2 linked regions of the Rhinolophus ferrumequinum genome follow. The protein of the gene in region 2 interacts with the protein of the main gene of each other region in a pairwise test. Links are inferred from orthologs where the notes say so. Each region holds a gene or a part of one and is shown on either strand. Other genes may lie near its edges. The genes, in order: GSTO2 and TFAP2A.

What was found.
Region 1: the proteins of TFAP2A (region 2) and GSTO2 interact in binary tests that used the Homo sapiens proteins (3 or more experiments, as listed by UniProt). The two-hybrid records come from large-scale screens. The link is inferred for Rhinolophus ferrumequinum from reciprocal best matches to the Homo sapiens genes TFAP2A and GSTO2.

The regions. Positions count from the first base shown.
Region 1 is NC_046299.1:21,187,842-21,198,292, forward strand, and holds the start of GSTO2 (glutathione S-transferase omega-2), read right to left. Parts: upstream 4,302-10,451; 5' UTR 3,950-4,301; coding exon 3,925-3,949; exon of another isoform or gene 3,877-3,924; intron 1-3,876. Other genes in the region: GSTO1 (glutathione S-transferase omega-1), read right to left, coding at 5,356-5,509, 7,198-7,304, 8,940-9,038. UniProt on the Homo sapiens protein: Exhibits glutathione-dependent thiol transferase activity. Has high dehydroascorbate reductase activity and may contribute to the recycling of ascorbic acid. Participates in the biotransformation of inorganic arsenic and reduces monomethylarsonic acid (MMA).
Region 2 is NC_046292.1:83,618,114-83,628,876, forward strand, and holds the start of TFAP2A (transcription factor AP-2-alpha), read left to right. Parts: upstream 1-6,833; 5' UTR 6,834-7,939; coding exon 7,940-8,119; intron 8,120-8,544; exon of another isoform or gene 8,545-8,666; intron 8,667-8,984; exon of another isoform or gene 8,985-9,123; coding exon of another isoform or gene 9,124-9,150; intron 9,151-10,354; coding exon 10,355-10,763.

The sequences.
Region 1 (10,451 bases), on a different chromosome or scaffold from region 2:
TCATTTTAAAAGATGAATAAACTGAGACTAACAAGGTTAAGTCACTTGTCAAAAGCCTTACAACTAGTAAGAGTTGGAGGGAGGATTCATGAAGTTTCACTTCCGGGACAGCATTCCAACCAGGATCTTAGTCTATACCAGAGATGGTCAAGCTTGTTCAGTAAAAGTCAAGATAGTCAATATCTTAGGCTTTTTGAGCCATCTTGTCTCAACTACTTAACCCTACCCTTGTAAAGTGAAAACAGCCATAGGTAATATATAAATGAATGAGTGTGGCTGCATTCTAATAAAACATTGTTTAGGGAGTTTGAATTTGAATTTCATGTGTATATATTTTAATAGGCTTTATTTTTAGGGCAGTTTCAGGTTCCCATATACCTACTACCGCCACACATGCACAGCCCCCCCCCACCATCCACATCCTGCATCAGAGGCACATTTCTTACCATAGATGAACCTACGCTGACACATCATTACCACCCAAGTTTACATTAGGGCTCACTCTTGGCGAATTTTACATAATTTTCACACATCGCAAATTATGATTCTTCTCTTGATTATTTTCAACCATTTAAAAATGCTTTTAGACTGTACCAAAACCAGCAGTGGGCTGGATTTGGCTCTCTGGCCTTAGTTTGCCAATCCCTGGTCTATGCTGACAATGACTGAGTTAGTAATGGCCAAACGGAATTCCATTCGTAAGATAAAAGGTTCCTGGATTCACCTTTCCACTATGGCAAAGAAAACATATTTCCAAGTTTTGCTTTTTTTCCCTTGATCCCACCTTTTAAAGGAAATCAACTCTGAGAATTGGGACATATTGTTTATTAAAAGTGTATCTGTGGATGGGAACTCACTTTCTGAAACTCAAGCCTATTTGGTGTAGTTAGGGGAGAACAGATAGATGGAAACAGTTCTTCCTCTGAAGGGAAGCAATATAATGTCAAGGTTCTCACTTGGCACTACATTTGAACCCTGGCTTTGGCACTTATGTAAGATATCTAACCTCTCTGGCCTTCATCTTTCTCACCTGTAAATGAAAACACAAATAATACCTACTTGATGGGCTTTGAATATCGAATGAAATCATGCAGGCCATTCTCAGTATAGTAAAGCTCCATGTACTTTAAAATTAATGACTAATACTAGTGAATAAGAACACATTTTAAATAGCATTGTGCATTCCAATTTTGTATCCATAAAGATGAAATGCACTGCAATTCAACTTTGCCAACCACATCAGAATTAGAATTCAATTCAGAATATTTATTTCACCATTTACCAGTTAAATGCCAATTGAATGGGCTGAATGCTGCAGGCTACATTTCAATAATGTGGTTTTTAATCTTACCATTGAACACTATAGATTTCCTAGAAAGATTTTAATTATGACCTTTAAGCTTATCCCTACTTCCTTTTTAAGATCCAGTAGGCACCTCTTTGACATCCTCTTGGTAAATATTCCTTTTAAGTTATTATACATGTTTACATCTCTATTATACTGACTCACTCAAGCACAAAACAAATGGTAACAGGGCCATATTAACCTACTCCAATTTGGTTTCCAGCTCCCTGAAATATAATAGGATCTGTTTGAAAAATGTGGGGCTCTTGAGTCATAGGTATTAATGACTTAAGTCTTCTAGGAAAAGAATGCCACCACAGAAATAATTTCTTCACTCTGTTTAAATGAATCTGTTTTGAGAAGATGAGGAGTTTGCACTTTTCAGTTTTTCAAAAATTTTTTCTCACACCTCTCTCCAATAGTGGCAGAAACTGGAGGACACTCCTCTTAATATTTCAGAAGCCTAATTTAAATGAAAGGTTACATTATTGGGTGTTTGGATATTATTCACCAATTGGATATTGTTCACCAATTGGATATTGTTCAACAAGTTCAAAGAGTGAGATAAGTGAAGAAAAGGGTTCTATTTTCAAACAGACTAGATTCAGGACTTGTTTCCAGGAAGTTAGGATCCTAGGGAATCTTAAGTTCTAATATCTTTGGGACAACTTTTTTTTTCAGTTTTGAGATATAATTGACATACAGCTCTGTATGAATTTAAGGTGTACCACATAATGACTTGACATGCATATATTATGAAATGATTACCACAGTAAGTTTAGTTAACATCCATCTCCTTATACTCGTATAGTTACAAAAAATATTTTTTCCTCATGATGAGAACTTTTAGGATATACTCTCTTAGCAACTTTCAGCTATACCATACAGCAGTGTTAACTATAGGTAGTCATCTTGTGCATTACATCCCCAGGACTTATTTATAATAACTGGAAGCTTGTATTTTTTGACCACCTTCACCCAATTCAACACACATACACACACACACACACACACACCCCAACACCCACAAATCTGGGACATATCAAATAAGATTGTTCTTGACCAAAGTTGTGAGAGGAGGAACTTCATCTCCCCACTGGGGAAAGCAGAGTCAAAAGGAGACTTCCTTTATAAGTACTTGATTCTGCTTTCCTATCCCTATTTCTATTTTACAGGGTGTCATGCAGGAGATCCTGCTGACTACGCCAAGTGTCGTGCGGGGCGTCCAGCGGGGTCTCTGGCCCCACTCCCCACACAAAAACGCAGGATATGGCTAGGCCAAAAAGGAACACCCACGGAGCCATAAGTAGGGGAGTCATATCTCTATACTCTCGCTGGCGGCTGGGTTGGAGAAACAGGAAACAGGAGCAACACAATTCTCAACCCTCACTGCGCCGCTTGCAGGCTCAGCCACCATCTTCTTGCTAGCTCCCCCCTTCTTCTGCTAGCCTAGCCACGGCAGTTATATTCATGGCTAATGGCTCACTGGTTACAGCTGACGGCCAACTAGCCACAGCTGATGGCCATTTGATCACAGTCGATGGCCATTTACTACCTGAGCCAGCACCTTTCTATGTGAGGCTGAGAGCCTGGAAAGTGCTTTTTGGGGCTCTGTCCCCACACAGGGTGAGGGAGCAAAGACAAAAGATTTTTAAACATTTTGATGTAGTTACATTTGAATGAACAAAGGCAGATTTTCAAGATCCTGTAATCAGCCAAAGTCTAACATTTGTAAAATCAAACAACACGGTGTACATCAACACTTTTGGTTAAATCCCAAGCATAATACCAGTCGTATGTCAAAAAGGTGGCTACTATCCGCACCTGGCTCAACCTCTAAATGCTAGAAGTGATTGAGTAATGAGACTGGAGCAGGAGCATAAGTAAATTCTTATCTCAAGAATGGTCTGAATGACTAAGAGTTCAGGCTTGATTTGAATCTCCTTCAGCATGTACCAGCTGGTGACCTTGGGCAAATCACAACAACTTTCTATGCCCTAAGGTTCTCATTTGTAATTCAGAGTTGATGGTACTAACACATCAGGTGGTTTGGGGAGGATTACCGGTAATTCAGATACTGGATGAAAATTGCTTAATATTTATTACCTAATAAGCATTCAACATTAGCTATTATTTTTATTATTAGAACGCAGCATGTAAGACCCATAGTCCTCACAAAGACAGGACATTCCCTGGGACCAAATTCCCCTGCCTGCGGGTTCCCTATAACGTAGCTACTACACTGGTGGTGCCAATGCAGGGCTGAGAATTAGTGATTTTGAGTCATCTTTACCTGTTTCCAGCCAAATCAGAAAAATAAAAAAAATTTAATGTTTTTTTCCCTTTGAGTTAAAGGTATTGCTTTAAAGACCTGTTCTTTATTCTTAGATTATATAGACCTTGCACTTTTTTAAATGTTAAATTCTTTGATGAAATAGTATGGCTTTCAAAAACATATTGGGCAAAATTAAAAGTTGGCAATCCTATTCAGGGCCCCGAAATCGTGAAACTTCCCAAAATTCAGAATTGACCTTAAACCCCTCTTGCCTTCAAACGCAACGCTGGCCGGACCAACCCACCCGGAAGAGGTGACAAGAGAGACATCCCGAAGCATTTACCCCCGCGAGGCAGACGAAGCCGGAAGTAGAACGACCGCCGCAGGCGGCAGAACCCACCCCCTAGAACAAGATCCTACCCGCCAACTGGCCACGACACTAGGAGCTTCAGCCAACCCTCAAAGCCTTTGGAAGGGCTCCAGCCAATCAGTGCCGAGCTGAGCCAATGAGCAGCCGCGTTACAAGCTCCTGGATACCGGGGTCTTGGGGACTCGCAGATGTCTCATACGGGTCCGCGCAGAGCTTGGGCGTTGGTGGCTGTCGAGGGTGGGCGGCCCGAGGCCGTTTGTGAAGTCAGCCGGTTCTCAGCTGCTTGTCGATGCGGGCCCGGGATCTTCTGCATCACCATGGGGCGGGGCGGGGCGGGGCGGGGGTGGGGGGATGGGGGGTGCTCATTTCAAATGTGGACTTCCCGGCCCACCTCGGACCTACTGAATCTGAAATCCAGCGGTGGACCTTACGTGATTGCTATGCGCTCTAACGTTTAAGTACAGGAAACCAGGCTGTATTGGGACAGGCTGATCTATATAGCCCTCTAATTCTGTTAGTATGAACAGAGTACTGGGTGTGTTTTCCAGATATTTCTGCCAGCGTTTTAAGGCCTCATTTAACCTCGCGACCTTAGTTGAATCATCTGTAGAATAAAAGACTCCGACCCACCTTCTCCTGGAGGTGATGGGATGACAAAAAATTAAATAGAAGCCCAATTGGCTATGGAAGTGTATGGAAGATGGCATTAATATTTCTGAATGTGAATATTACCTATTACTCATCCAGCCTTCCATACTGAATTGAGGGATGTGGTCCTCACAGTATTTAATTATATACGGGACACCTGCTATATGCCCAGCATGGGATTTGGTAAGAAGGATTTGAATGGGATAGAAATTGGAGATTGGGAGACCAAATAGGTCACCTAGTCACCTGGCTTTGAGGTGATGTGGGTTTGCTCTTCAGTGGTAACAATAGCAATAAAGGAATGAAATGCAGTTGATGATGGAAAGGAAAGAATGAGGAATTGAAATTTTCTCAACTTAGAATTCTGAAGACAAACTTGAAAGGGCATCTTTGAAATGACAACAGGGTATCCAAGTGGAAATGTCCTAAGGGTAGTTAGAAATCTAGATTGAAGTCTAGATCTCACTAGAGAGAATGATTTAGAGATTTTCAGCACAGACTCTGTTAGAACCCTTAGAGTCATGTGAGCATCTGGAGCAGGAAATGTGTTTACATTCTGCGGGAGGGCCTTGAGGAAACCTCACAGTTAAGCTGTGATGTCAACTCAGAGAAGGTGATCCAATGACACATGAGAGCACTCAGTAAAATTAAAGCATGTTGTTATTCCTATTAGTGAAGGAAAATATCAGACATATCTTCATTGCTGACTTGCCCCCATCAGAGCCCATAGTCACAGGCCTGGAGGTTATCCTGCAAGTAGAGATCTAAGAAACCTCGATAGGTCTTCACATCAAGGAGGAGGGCTGATACTGTGGGATCTTTCCTCATGGCTGCCATCCAGAGCTTAAGTTTTGGAGTGTGGTCTACACACCTGTGGGAGATGGAAAGAATGAAGGCATGAGTTAGACTAAGTAGGAAGGCATTGCAGTCTCCTATATATCATCACTCTGAAGTTTCATTTTCTCCTCTAACCTTTTAAAGTAGTTCTTTAAAAATATTTCTTTAAAATTCATGTAATCATAGAATACAGGCAGGCCTTGTTTTATTGCACTTCTCAGATACTCATTTTTTACAAACTGAAGGTATGGGGCAACCCTGCATTGAACAAATCTATCGGTGCCATTTTCCCAAGAGCATTTGTTCACTTCGTGTCTCTGTGTCACATTTTGGTAATTCTCAGAGAATTTCAAACTTTTTCATTATTTGTTATGGTGCTCTTTGATCACTGATCTTTAATGTTACTAGGGCAAAACTCTCTAAAAGATTATGACTCACTGAAGGCTCAGATAATGGTTAGCATTTTTTGCAATAAAGTATTTTTTAATTAAGGTTATGTACATTGTTTAGACATAAAGCTACTGCATACTTAACAGGCTACAGTATAGTGTAAACAACTTTTATATGCATTGGGAAACCAGGAAATTTGTGTGACTCACTTTATTGCAATATTTGCTTCATTGCAATGGTCTGGAACCAAACCTGCAATATCTCCAAGGTATGCCTGTATTAGATTTGGAACATGTTGTAGAGGTCTTTGTTTTATGGAACAGTAATTTTAAAGTAAAATGACTTGCTCAGTTAATGTAAGAACTTTTGCAAACTGAGACTGGTAACTTTTTTAACATGAAAGACAACCCATCTATGGCCAGATTGTAACTAAAAGGAAGGGATTAAGAAGTACAAATTGCCAATTACAAAAAAAGTTACAGGGCTATAAAGAACAGCACAGGTAATATAGTCAGTAATACTATATAAATGGTGTCAGATGGGTACTAAACTTATTGGGGTGAGCACTTCATAAGTTGCATAAATGTCTAATCACTATGTTGTACACCTGAAACTAATATAATATTGTATGTCAACTGTAATGAAAACTTAAAAAAAAAAAGAGAGATCAAACTTTTTTTGCCAGCGGGGAAGTGGTGATAAAGGTGAAGGGGGATATAGTCAATAATATTGTGGTCAGTTTGCATGGTGACAGATGATTACTAGACTTATTGTGGTAATCACATTGTAAGGTATATAAATGTCGAATCATTACACTGTACACCTGAAACTAATACAGTATTGTATACCAACTATACTTAAAAAAATGTTTTTAATAAATAAAAAATTTTTTAGAGAATAAAGAAAAAAGAAGTAACCCTGAATGCTCTAAGCTCTGAGTTGGGAGTAAGCCAAAGTGGCTGCCAAACTTCAAAATACACAATTTGGAAAACAGTATGGGAATCTTACTGGTAAATGGGAGGTAGCATTGATCATACACTCCTGCATGACAGCCTTATAGAAATGTACATCCTTATGGATTTTTAATCAGGAGGGAAGGAATAAATTACTTTTAAAACATTTTACTACATGTCACAGAACTCCTGCCCCTCCTAAATGGGGAGGAGTGGTGAGTATAGGTAGATAATATGCCCAAGTCTTTCCTCCTGTCTGCTTGTTCCCATTCATACCAGTTGTATGAAATATTTTAATTTCTGTGCAGAAAAAAGGTCGACATATACTATTCCAATTATCATTATCCTAAAATATACACAAAACATTCAAATGTCTTACTCAGTTAACTCCAGTCCTTCCAGCCGTTCAAACCAGGGCCAGATGAGGTAATCAATCATAGAAAGCGAATTGCCTCCAAAGAAGGTTGTCTTCTTATTGGTCAGAACCTGAACATTAAACAGCATAAGAGTACTTATTGTGCAGCTAGTAAAACATCATCAGAGATGACACAGGTGAGTTAAGTAGAGTGGTGAGAGCAGCAGTATTTACCCTGACATATCCAAGTTGGCTTTTTGTCTATTTGATCAGTTGAAACTTTAGAATCTGTTGGTTTGAGATGAAGCAACAACAATCAACAAAATAAACTGGAAAATGGAGAAAAATAAAATAAGGGATAGAGTACAAAATATTTGTAATAAACAAAAGACTGGTATTCAAAATATAGAAAGAACTGGGAATCAAAAGAAAAAAGGCAAACACCCATTAGAAAATTGGGCAAGTCTTGCACTTCACAAAACAGGATGTCCCAGAGGCCAATGACCACTTGAAAAGGTGCTTGCTCCAACTACATTAGTGATCAGGGAAATGCAAATTAGAACCAAATGTAACACCACATTCTAATACATCCATTAGAATTGCTAAATGAACAAGACAAAGCAAGAGTGTGGAACCACAGCTGATAGGAATGTAAATTGGTACAACCATGTTTTAACAGTATCTACTAAAGCTGAGTGCATATATTCTCTATTACCCAGTAATTCTACTTGGAAATGTGAACATATATTCACCCAAAGATAAGAATGTTCACTGCAGCATTATTTGTAACATAATTTGTAATAGCCCCAAAGTGGAAATGTTTACTGTCCATCGGGAGTAAAAAGGATTAAAAAAAATTGTGGTACAGTCATAAATTGGAACACTATACAAAGAATAGGAATGAACTATGTACAACATATAGGTATACGGACTTCACAAACCTAATACTGTATGAAAGAAACCAGACCCAATTATATGATTCCATTTGTATAAGGCACAAAAAATAGCCAAAATTAATATTCTGTTTCTTGATTTGGGTGCTCGTTCCATGGCTGTGGAAGGACAAATAGTATGTTTCTAAAATTTAAGAAGGTGAATTGGTATTACAGTTTTGTCAAAGCAGGGAACAGAATATTTTCTGGATAACACCAAACCAACTTAACTTTTATAAACTAGTTTTTCTCAGGGCACACATAACATTCTGCATTGTAGACTGATTGAATCTACTTGAGTATTTGGAATGTCTCAAGGCCAAGAGGAAGACTCAATCTAAAGACCCAAATGGCAGCTCTACCCGAAAGGAGATGAAACAAAAGTGTCTGTAAGATTCATGGCAAATGCTTTGTGGTGGAAAATGTTTATTATATAATACTAAGTGGAAAAAGAACACAGAATGGTATCTATGCTCTGATTATAGTTATGTACATTTTTTTTAATATATGGACAAAGACTGGAAAAAAGAAAATAGGTGACACATTGTAGAAATGTTGGTGAATATCTCTTTTTCCTTCTTATTTTAATGTCACTACAACAAAATGTTTTAAAAGCGAGCTCATGACACAATATTTTTAGGTGTTTTGGTTTACATCTTAAACACAGTAGCTTATGGCAATCTGTTGTAAACTAAAAATTTTTACTTGGTATTATTATTACTAATTGCTATAAAGTGTTTGGGAAATGGTAATATGAAGAAAAGAGTAGAAGGAAGAAGAGAGTAGATACAGTGTATCATTTACTGATAAAAGCTAGGAGAAGTGATTGATTACCTCCTCAAGCTTGCTGAATTCTTTACGAAATTCTTCTTTTAGGCCAGACCGGTCTTCCTTATTTTTACTTCTAAGAAAGCTTCCCACCAAAGGTGGTATCTAGATAGAGAACAATTTCTTAGTTTATCACGGGAGGCTAATTATACCGGCCTCATATAAAAACACAATAGAACCCTCATAGTCCCAGTATCAGTGTTCAAGAAACTTCAAGGGTGCACTAATTCCTGTGTTCACAGAGATTATATGCTGATCTTAGTATAACAGTTTTGTGGCCTAAGATATTGTGTCGGTCAGGATTTTATAAGTTCCAAATCATAGAACGCACCGTGACAAGTTTGAGCCAAAAAATATCTTTAAAGGACACTGATTATCTCACTGAATTGTTGAGAGGCTGAACAAATATGCTTGGAACTAGACTGGAACATTCCAAAATCATGCTCAGACTGGCCTGATGGAAAGCACTCTGAAACTAGAGTTTCTAGTGCCGGTGAGCTGAAACTAGAGGTTACAGTTTGAGTCACTGCCAGAACCTGGACTCTCAAGTAACTAATGCCACTAGCACCAAAGCTGTTTCTACCCCGGGAATTTAACCTTGCAACCACCCACCACAGCTCCTGAAAGCCAGAAGCTCTGCCACCAGCCACTCACCAGCAGAACCAGTGCCCCCCACCAAGCCTATTTCCTCACATGGCTCGTTTCTGAATTGAACTCTACCATGTGTCTATCTGACTGGAGAGCCTAGGTCCCGGGCCTTGGCCCCAGCTGCAGAGGGAGCTGGGGAAGAGAATTTTTCTTCCCCAGCTCCCTCTTAGGGAAGACATGCAAAGTCTTCAAAGGGGACTGACTACCTGAAGACCTGACAGGTGTAGTGTCACATGCTTTAATGCTTGTGGTGGGTGAGTGTTTTAATACTTCGGTCTTTGATATCATCTCACCGCAAGAGAAGTCCACTCATCCCAGTTTAAGTAAGCAGGCACTCATAAAAATATGGATACTTGTAAAAATACGAAGTCTCCTGAAATCCCACTGATGTCAGTATAGCTTGCCCTCATTGGAACTAAAGATTTGCAGGCAGCCATTCGTCCACATTTCCATCTGGGCCTGCCTGGTCTTTCCTCTGCTTCTCCTTAAATGTCTATTCCATATTATTTTCTATATACAGTTCCCTTTGCAGTGCTCTGAATTTCCACTTGCTTAAAATTTTATTTTTATGGGGCTTTGGTTTGTCAAATCTCCAATTATTAATATATATATGGCTCCAAAGCTTTCACACCTTTACTGCCTTAGTCTCTGTATCTCAGTTCCAAATTTCTAAAAGAGAAGATGATTGAGCTGGGGGTGTGAGTGGGGGCATTTCTGGTTTGCTGAGCTGTGGCCAGAAGGGTGGGGTCATATGGTACCTAAGACCACCTTTTCCCTGAATGTGAGCAGGAAAGTAATAGTGCACATCTCCAGCTTTTAGCTCATTTTCTTTCTAGATGGTACAATGAATTTCGTTACTTTTTTTTTTAA
Region 2 (10,763 bases):
GCTGACCTTTTACACACATTTGCCTGACGAGTCAGAGAAGACGATTTGAAACCGGTTCTTTGTTCATTTCCCGGTCCCCGCGGACGCAGCCGGGGAGGGTAACTGGGCCTGCCCCAGTCGTCCCAGGCCCCAGCCCTGGACAGTTTGATCTCGTGGCTGCCGGGATGGACCTGGCACGGTCTCGCGGCGAGCGCGGCCTGAGGCTAAGCTCCTCACTCTCGTCTCCCTCCCAGCCAGGTGTGGTTCCTGCCGGGGAGGTGAGCTCCTCGGAGCCCAAAATCCTGTGGCTTCTTTTAAAGCTCCCTTCTAATTAGAAGCAGCGGTGAAATCACTTGAGTGATTTTATCTGTCATGGGAAAGCAAACCCCAGCCCAAACCTCAGTTGCCCATCCCACAACCACCAACACCCCCATTTCTCCCTTTAAAAAGTTTTTAGTGAAATAGATAAAGAGCTGGGAAGGCATAGAGAGGTGGGGGAGGGGCGGGAAACTGTGAAAGGAAGAGAAGGTGGACCTTAAATACAAGTGTATGAGTGTGCAAGTCAGTGTGCATGTGTGTGTGTGTTTGTGTGTGTGTCTGCGGTGGGAGGAGACTAAATCCAGAAGCCAGAAATGAAACAGAATCGTGAACTTCTTCACCTACTGAGAAACACTTTGATCTGGGATCCGACGCTGAAGCACCCCTGGGGGCTGCCGACTCGGATTCGCGAGGCCGGGAACTGTTCTGAACCTCGGGACTGTTCTGAATGAACCTGGTGGGCCGGTGGGGAACCGGGGACAGGGATCTGGGCCCCACTGCTTGCATCCAGATGCGCGGGACCTATCGGGACTGGCCCCATCTCCCGGCCTAGCCCTCCAACCCCCCATCTCGGGGTGGAGACTCTCCAAGCCCCAAAGTTTCGAGGGGGAGGAGAGCCATGGGAAGAGTGTAGATGCCCCTATTGCTCGAGTGCGTAAACACAGCCACTCGCGCTCACATCGCACCCAGCACACCCCAGCAGGCAGTCTGCCTCGGTTCCCCGGTCAGGGACTGACCGGGAAAGCGGGTTGGGGCTGTTGGGAAAAGCTGGAACTGATGGCGAGATTGCCGCGGCTATAAATCCATCACTTCCCAGGTCAGCTCCGCGAGGCGCTTGGGACTAGGGCTGGCGGAGTGAATTCCTGGGCTAACGCGCATGCGTCGGCAGGTAGCAACCCAGCTCTTTATGACCAGGTGAGATGTTGGTGAGCAGGTAAAAAAGGAGGATTTGCCCAAGCGATTCCAAGGAGCGGGCCCGGTCGAGCCCTATAGCCCATGCCCGGCGGGGACCAGTCGCCAGGAGCGCCGAGCCGCGATGTCCATACTTGCCAAAATGGGGGACTGGCAGGTACGGGGGTTTGACTGGGCTGGGGCCGAGGTGGGCGGGGGTGGAGCGGGGGAGGGGGGCGGGAGGGGGAGGCGGAGAGGAAGAGCCGTGGCCCAGGGCAGGAGAGTAGTAGGTGAGGCGCGCCTGGCAGCGCCCAGGAGTGTTCCCAGGAGAGAAAGAGGACAGGAAAAACGCGCGCAGGCGGCGGCAGCTGCGCTGGGGGCAACGTGCGCTGCCCGCGGGGCCCGGCTCTCGGGAAAGTTCGGCGTACGCTCTACAAGTGGCCCTGGGGGTCACTTGTGGTTTGCGCTACAGCCTTCTCCCAAACCCCAAGTAGAAACTGGGGAGGATGACAAATTCAGGAGTGGGGAGGGCGCAGGGCGGAGGCTGCGGTGCGCCGTGATGAGTGTTCCCTGCTTGCAATGCTTTAGGTCTTGCCCCAGACCCCAGGGCTGCGCGTGAGGTGGGGTTCTGGTGCACCTGTCTCTCCTTGTGCCTCCAAGTTTTGGGGACCTAGGAGGTGTGGAGAATGGAAAGGGGTCCGGAGAGGCGCGCGGCGAGCACGTTCTTTTCGGATATACTTCAAAGAGTTTGCGCAAAGTTTAGCTTCTCAGTCCGCTTCCTGAAGCCAGTTTTCTCTGCTTGGGCTCCGGATGGGGGTGACTGGATGGGGGTTGAATGGTGGATTATAAAGAAGAAGGTCTAAGATTTGCCGAAACCAAAGCTTGCTACACTTGGCCCTGCTAGGCCGCAGGCACCACAAGGCCAACTAGGCTCCGGATCCTGCCCGCCCTGAACCACGAACCCGGACCCCGGCCACGGGAGCATTCGCCCAGCGCTCTCCTTCTAACTTCCAGATGTTTCCCCTGTGGGAACTAGGGCGGCTTTGGCCAGGTTGGCGAGGGTAGCAGCCTCTCCCCTGTTGTCGATTTCGTAATGGGAACCCCGGGGCCCTCTTTTCGCCCCAGCAAAGCGAGGCCTGATAAGGGCGAGGTTCTGCTCGCCTAAGTGTGTAGGGAGATTCGAACCAAACGCCCCGATTTGCCAAAGAAAAGTCGAGGCCCTGCTCCTTCTGGGGCGAGTTCTTTCGCTTGTTTCAGATTTAGGCCATTAGAAGTAAAGTTCGGAGAAGTTCGGTCTTCACCACATTCCCTGGGGTTGGGGAAAGGAAGTCATATTGCAATATTTCTTTCCTTGCGCTCAATTGTTGTGTTTATCAACCGTGAGCTCTTTTATACCTCTGCCCCCAGTTAAATATCACTAAATGAAACTTCCTCCCCAAAGTTACACTAACTTTGTGGTTTAAGGATACAAATCCCACACCAAACACAAGTCCTGGGAAAGCACACCTTTCTCTCCCTGCTTCTGTGGGCCTCAGGGCCCTTCATTCTCTTCTCTGGAGGGTGAAAACTGGATAAAGTTCTTTGGCTGAGGTTTTTCGGGTTTCCTCTGTGAGGCGGAAAAACTGCTGCAGAATTCCTCTGCAGTGAGAAGGCGCTGGGAGTGCAGGCAGGGTTTGGGTCTGGGCCTCTAGTGGGCCCGACTAAGGTTCCGAAGCAGCTAGATTACAGCCTGAAGAGGAAAGGAGTGAGCCATGGGCCTGGCTCAGGCGGGGATCTGGGTGGGTGGGGGTACGGCAGATTTGGGACCAGGAGGGGCGGGATGCTCCGCCGAGCTTGGTTGGCCTTTTGGGCTCCGGGGTCCTACTGGGTGGTGACAACTGGAGAGAACAGAGTCATTGTGGCCCCTCGCCGTCTCTTTGTTTCTCTTGGTGTCTCTGTCTCTCATACAGATACTTGCTCTTCCCCCCCACGCCCCCAAATCGGGCCTGGACCCCCACCTCTAACCCCAGGCCTGGCGCTGCTGTCCTGGGGTCCGGGCGAGGCCGCAGCATTGACATGCAATCAAGCGACTTGTCGTGGTAATGACGCTCACACCAACGCGGCTCCGCTGGCTTCAGGGGCGACCGGGGTGCCTGCCCTGGCCTTTCTTCAGTGCCCATAACACTGGCGGCGGCGCTGAGCCCGCAGGCCCCGATCTGCACCTCAAAGGCGCCCTCGGCGGGAATACAACAACAGTTTAGCAGCCCCGGCGGGTGCGGAGCCGGAGATCTGCGGGGCGCGGGACAGCAAGGTGGGGGGTCGTGGAGAAGATGAAGGGCCAATGCCTTCCTCAGCCCACAAACTGAAAGAAAGAAAGCGAAACTTAGAGTTCCCTTAAGCACGCTGTGGCGACTTCTGGGGGTGGAAAATCCATGCTCCCAGGCCTACGATTTGGCCTACAGATCACGCTCTGCGGCTGCGGCCACCGCTGGGAAGGTGTCAGTCCCCCAGGCGGCCCATCTCCCGACTTCAAGCCGCTGAGGTGAACCCCAGGGCAGCCCCACAGAGTGAGTGGTGCTAGCACTAGAGCTGACTTTCCAGAGTGGAGTGAGGTGGGGAGCGGAGAACTAGGTTCAGCCTCGAGACTGTGCTAGTGTTCAGGGAGGGAAGGGAGGGCAGGGCAACACCCAGGGCTTCCGGAGGGAGTCCCCGGGCTCTGATTCCCTCTTCTAGCCCTAGTCCTCCTAACTTTTGTGGGGGAGGGGTTCTGGCCTACTCTGCGTGGCTTGAGAAATTTGCTGCGGTCTTCTGGAGGGAGAATTTCCCTTCCCCAGGCTGGGGGAGGGGGGCGGAGAGGGGCACTCTCTCCTTCTGCCTTTTTTCCACCTGTTAGGGAACGCTCAGATTTTCAACAGTTTCTACCTCACTTCGAGTTCGCAGTATGGAAACCTGGGAGGCCTGGGGATTTGCAGAAAACAGGCCCAGAAGGCACAGGGGTCGTTAGTAGAGCAGCTCTGAGGCGAGACCTACTCTTGTTGGGGAGTTTGCTGTGTTCGAGTGGGAAAAAGACAGAGCGAAACTTTTTTATGGAGGACAAATGAGGAAGCTCGGCCAGAGAAATGAATTACTCTGTATTTCGAGAATCACATCTTTGTATTTTATTTCTTCCTTTAAAAAAATTCACTAAAACAGAAGAAAAAAATGTAAAGCCCCGGTGGGGCGAGCAGGCTCCCGTGTAGAGCGGGATAGCCTAGACTGGCCAACCTGCACGAGGGGGTAGCTGCCGGGCCTCAGGGTTCGGCGTCAGCCGGGCACCGCGCGGCGAGTGCGCCCGCGTTAGTAACATCACCAAATCATGAAGGAACTCTTCCTGCTTTAATTAAAAAGGGGGATCTTGGGAAAACTGGAGCAGATTAGCACAGCGAAGAGTTGGTTCCCAGCGATTTATTTTGATGCATGCATGACACAGTGCTCACATGTCAGTATTTCGGCTCAACTCCAGAAGCGACTGTGAGTCTCCATAGGAGTTCTGTGTCCTTCTGCATGTCGCATCCGGGAAACCCTCAGCCCAAACACCATGTTGGTGTGTCACTCGGCCCTAGCTACATACAAACGAGAGGAAGATCATTTAACCCCCAGAGCTGTTCAGTAACCTTTTCAGGGTACAATTTTTATTTTACACGCGGCAATTAAAGGATCGCAAACCCCAGCCGAGCGACTGGAACCGTTTGGCAAAATCTCCAACCTGGAGGAAAGTGCAAAGCCAATAAAACTCCCAAGGCTCTGCGGCCTGAGGTGGTGCTGCCCCGAGCGGAGGCGATCTCTTGTTGGGTAAAAATCCTGGAGTGACTTCGCTGGTCTTGGTTTGGTGGTTATATTTAATTGCGAAAGAGATAATAATTTCTAATACAAGTGGACGGGGCCGAAAGGACAGCGCCGTTAGTGGCAGCAGGGGTGGGAAAAAGGTGCTGAGAGCCGAGCCCCAGGCGCGGCCGCTCGGGCCCTGCGCAGCGTCCGGCCTTTGCTCAGGGCATCTCCCGCGAGGAGGCGACGGAGGGGAAGGGGAGTGGGGAGGAATGGGAGGGGGGGTGGCACAGTTAGGACAGGGGTGTGCGGCGGCGCTAGGGGAGATTTCCTCGGCTCACAGGCAAGCGTGCGCTCTAGGAGCAAGTTCGCGGCTCGGAGAGGCCTTTATACCTGGGTCGGAGCGGCCGGCGGCAGATTGTGGTGCTGGCGAGTAATTGGACTATTGTTGATATGCTAATGAGGCGATTAGGCTGTTGGTAAAGAGCTGGAAAAAGGAAAAGTTTCTACCATTAGAGGGAGATCTCCGAGCGCACACGGGAGCTCTATCCCTTCTCTCCTCCTCCTCCTCCTTCTCACCCTCCTCCTCCTCCTTTTTGCCCTCCTCCTCCTCTCCCTCCTCCCTCCTCCTCCTCCTCCCTCCTCCTCCTCCTCCTCCTCCGCTCCCCGTCGCAGCCTGCACTTTGCGCTTACCCAGAGAGTAGCTCCACTTGGGTGCGAGGCGGAGAGGGGGCAAATCCGTTCACGCCGATCCATGAAAATGCTTTGGAAACTGACGGATAATATCAAGTACGAGGACTGCGAGGTAAGCGCGGCGCTGGCTCAGTTATCCTCGCGGCCTCAGGCTCCGAGCTCTACCTTCCCGCACCTCCTCGCCTCCAGCTGAGAAACGCGGGTGAGACAAACTTTCCCAAGCGCAGCGCTCGCCTCTCGGATTCGCCCGATGAACGCAGGGGAGAGGCTGGAGAGGGAGGATGTTGGATGCTCCCTTTTTCATTTCCCTCCTTGGAAGCCCATGTCCCACTTTCTCCCTTTTTCTGACCAATGTTGGCTGTGTCTAAGAGTAGAGCGAAGAGACAAGCATGGATTTTTTGAAGCAATTGCTGGCAGTTGGGCACGCGCCTGTGCACTCTGCGTGTCTCACCAGCGAGATTCTTGGGGCCCAAGTACCAGGAAGAGAAAGGAAAGAGAAAAAAACCCTTTTCCCCTTTTTAACCTCCTTTCTGATCCTTAATATTCCCTATTTTATTTATTTATTTTTCCTTGCTTCCGTCCTCCCCGCCCCCCTTTCTTAAAAGGCTCATTTCTGTTTGGAGAAGGGGTCCGCACACTTCGGTCTGAGCCTGGGTTGCATCTCCTAGTTAGCGGGTTCACTTTGAGAGCACTCATTTCCCAAATCACAACGGGGCCCGCCGCAGGTAGTCTACGTTATTCAAGAAGTTCTAAGCCGCTTCTCCCTCTGAGCTACTTGGTCGGCGCATCCCTGGGGTGGGGGTGGAGGACTGAGCCACACGGAGTCTGCTGGCTGCGGGTCCCCACGCATCTGCCCCTACAGGAGCCCAGCACTCGGCTGTGTGACCTGGCGGGGCTGCATGCGACCTCCAGTGCGGAGAGCCCGCCGGGCCAATAAAGCGCGCCGCACTGGAACCCATTTAAAAGCCCAGGGTCTCCGGATTTCGGCTTCTTGGGGCAGCCGGGGAAGCCCCAGCACCACCGGTCCGCCCGCGGGAGGCGCTGGGACCCGGCCTGGCGGCCGCCGCCCCAACCTCCCTCACAATCCCCGCTGAAATGATCCGATGATTCACGGGAGGGGAAGATGGAGGGGGCCGCGCCGGAGATTACCTAAATAAATAGGTGGGAGTCCCTGCTTTGGCTATTTTTCTTCTTCTTTTTTTTTTTCTTTTTGGCATTTGAAGTGGGAAAGCCAGGCGTGAAGGTCTGTGAGGACGCAGTGGCGGGGGTCTTGTCTTCACTTGAAATCAGAACCTGGTTTTATGTGAACGTTGTGTCACCGTCCCTTTCCCCCGTTCTTTCTGTAGACTATTTGAAATCTCACTCGTTTCCCGGGCCCTTCCTTTTCGTCCGACCCCGCTCCCCGCCCCCCATGGGGCAAGGGGTGACATCCCACCGGGACGCGCGCTTCTCTGGGGACTCCTGTGGTGCGCAGTGCAGGGCGCAGACACCCACGTCAGACCAGCTGCTTTGTTTTCAGGATGGGGGAACCTTTGAGAACTAGTCGGGGTGAAACTCTGCCCCTAAGTCTCCGAGGGTTTATTGTCCTGGTCGCCGCAGTAGCCCGGGGCTCGGGCATTCACTTTCGCGAAGGCCGAAACCCAGCTTCCAGCGCCGAGTCCGAACTTCCACGCCGCGCTAGGTGCCTATGGGACCTAGGTGGGAGGCGATGAATTTGCACCCCAAGAGAGAGACCCTGTGGGGGCGCATGTGAATGTGTGTGTGAGGCAGAAAAGGAAAACAGAAACGAGACGAGGAAGAGAATAGAGTGAAGGCTGTTTCAATAACTTTGACTGCGGTGGGAGAGCGCCGGAGCAGGGATTTCGGGTTTCCGAGCCGGATTGGGGCTGTCTAATTATGTCGGGGCTCTGCAGAGACACGCAGGAGGCGAGGTGCCGCTTGTTCTGACAACCCGGCGGGCAGACTGGCAGCGGCGGCAGCCTTGCCGCGCTGGGAGAGAGCGAGCAGTGTCATCAGGGGGGGCGTCGGGCGGGAGTGGCCCAGCCAGTCGGACGGGTTTGTGCCGGGAGCCGGGAGCCCGTGCCAGCAGCGCCCAGGCTGGGCCGCCTCGCATCTCTGCCTGCCCCGGGCCGCGTCCGGGCTCCGGTCCCCGAGCCCCTGCCCTGGAGAGCCGAGGGCGGGGCGGCAGCTGCCGCAGAGAGCACAGCGCAGGGTGTCCGAGGGAAACTCGCTCCGCGGCGGAGGCGAGGGCCGGTCCGGGGAGGGGCGCCGAGTTATGGAGGAGCGGCGCGGCAGCCGGCAGCAGAATCCCAAGTCCCAGGCCCGGCTGCGGAGCGGAGGAGCCCGCGGCCGGAGAGGGCGGGGAAACACCGCGGGTGCCGAGAGCCGGATGAACGCCTGGACGCGGTCGCCGGCAGCTCCTGTCCGCGACGCACGGCCCCCACGGTATCCCGAGGTCTGCCCCAGTCTTTTAGGTCCGATTGTCCTCTCTCGCTTCCTCTCCCCCTCCCCCTCCCCCGCGGCCTCCCCCTCCGTGAGCTCCGACTCGGCCCCCTCCTCCCTCCCTCCCTCCCTCCCTCTTTCCCTCCCTTCCTTTTCTCGGCCTCTCCCTCCTTCCCTCCCTCCCCTCTTCCCACTCCGGGCTCCTCTCCCTCGCCCACACTTTCTTTCTCACACACGCACGCAGACACATTCTCCCTCTCCGCGCTCTCTCCCTTCGTCTCCCTCTCTCCCTCTTTCTCTTTCACTTTTGCATGCCCTGCAACCTTTTAAAATGTTGCCCCTTCCCTGTGATTCGCCAGACGCCGCGCGGCGGCCCCCCGCGCGCTCGCCCGCTCCCTCTCTCGCCCGCTTTTTGTCTCTCGCGCTCCCGCTCCCCACCTCCGATTTGCTACACTGAGGCTCCCGTCAATGGACTGCATTGAGAGCCGGCTCCGGCGCGAGTTGCCTCTCCGCTTCACGCTCGATTTCCAGGCATTCTTCCCTTATTAAGTATTCGTGTAATATTAATAGTCATGAATATCTGCTATTAGGAGGCTCCAGGAACGCTGCCCAGCGTGGTTATTAGAAGCTCAAGCGAAGCCGCCGCTAAGAAAAGAGGGGGAGACACGGATTAAGGAACACGCGCGCACACACACATACACACACACACACACTTTTTCTTTTCCTTTTTTGGGGCCTTTCATTTTCTAAGGAACTTTGAATCATAACCGATCACGGCAGGATAGAGACCGTGGGTTCGACAAGCTGAAGGCGCCGCTCGAATCGGTGGTTCAAGTTCGGATGGACCAGAGCGGGGCTCCAGCGCTCGGGCGAGCGTCGGCGCGGTGACTGGAGTTCTGGGTGGCGCGGGGCTCCCGGCGCCTTTTGTGTGGGGCGTACTCGGGCGGCGGGGCAGCCGGGCTCTCCAGGCTTGCTTGGTTTCTTCCACCCTGACTCGTTACCCCAGACTCTTCGCAGATGTTAGTTCACAGTTTTTCAGCTATGGTGAGTCCCATCCCCCACCCCATCCCTGTTTCCTTAGGAATTCTATTCTGGAAACCTGGTGCTACGGAGCTGCCCAAAACCTCGGGTTTCACGCCCAGGTTTCCATCAGGGCACCCCTTTCCATTTGCATTTTCTTCTTTCCACTTTTCTCTCTTCCATTCTCAAATCGAATGCTTTACCCCGCGTCCCCGCTCCACCTCTCCCGCGCGCAGACCTACCTCGCAGCTACTTCCCAAGGCATGTTTCTCTCCACGTTCATCTTTATTTCCTTGCGTCTTCACTTGTTCTCGAGATGTGCTCAACATTTGAAGCTTAATCCGTTTGCAGTAAAAACGCAGCCCAGAGTGCCCCTTACCCTCGGGGCCGGGGCATTCCCTGGAACCAACTCTGTTCGCTTGTTTTGCAAGTGAATTGCAATAGAGGAACATAAAGTCAGGCGTTTCTTCTGCCCTTTGGGGCTGGGGTGAAAGGGGCGGGGGCCTCCGCCCCGGGGTGCACTTCTCTCTTTTAAACCCAATAAGGCTGAATCTTTCTATTTTAAACCTTGACTTGAAGTCCCCTTCTCCCCATTCATATCATAAACCGACCCTGTGGAGAAAAAGGCTCCTAACTGAGGAAGCGGAAAAGACAGACCCCCAACCTGCAGTTAAAACCTTCTTTAAGCTGGTAATTTGAACGTGTGCTTTCTTTACAGCCCCTCTACAAAATATGTTTCTATTTAAATAGTCATGAAATGCCAATAGTCTTTGAACGTGTATGATTTTTTCCTCCAAATAAATGGAAAAGGGTAAACAATAACGCACTAGCAGGCAAGTTCAAATACGGGGGAAAGAAAAGGCCGCTTCTACTGCTTAATATTTGGCAGGGATTTTAATCTTGCTTAAGGGAGGTTTCACACCCCAGCTTAACGGGCTGTATTCTAGGAGGCCCTTTTTTATATTTTCCCCCCGTTGAAAGAAAAGGCTATGGAGACTCTCTTTTATGCCTCCACATTTGCACAGCTTAATTCCTTGAGTTTTTGGAAGGGCCCGTTTCACTTCGGGGGTATTTTCCGAAATGAACAACTTAGAGCTCATTTCTTCCGGCGGCCTGCCGTCGGGAAGGGGCGGTTTCCCACCCAGTCTTGCGGAGTGGATTTAGTGTGGAAAGCTGTAACTCGACGCCTGATTTCTTGTTCTTCCCCCTTGCTCTCGCTCTCTTCTAGGACCGTCACGACGGCACCAGCAACGGGACTGCACGGTTGCCCCAGCTGGGCACTGTAGGTCAATCTCCCTACACGAGCGCCCCGCCGCTGTCCCACACCCCCAATGCCGACTTCCAGCCCCCCTATTTTCCCCCACCCTACCAGCCTATCTACCCCCAGTCGCAAGATCCTTACTCCCACGTCAACGACCCCTACAGCCTGAACCCCTTGCACGCCCAGCCGCAGCCGCAGCACCCGGGCTGGCCCGGCCAGAGGCAGAGCCAGGAGTCAGGGCTCCTGCACACGCACCGGGGGCTGCCCCACCAGTTGTCTGGCCTGGATCCTCGCAGGGATTACCGGCGACACGAGGACCTTCTGCACGGCCCACACGGGCTTGGCTCAGGACTCGGAGACCTCCCAATCCACTCCT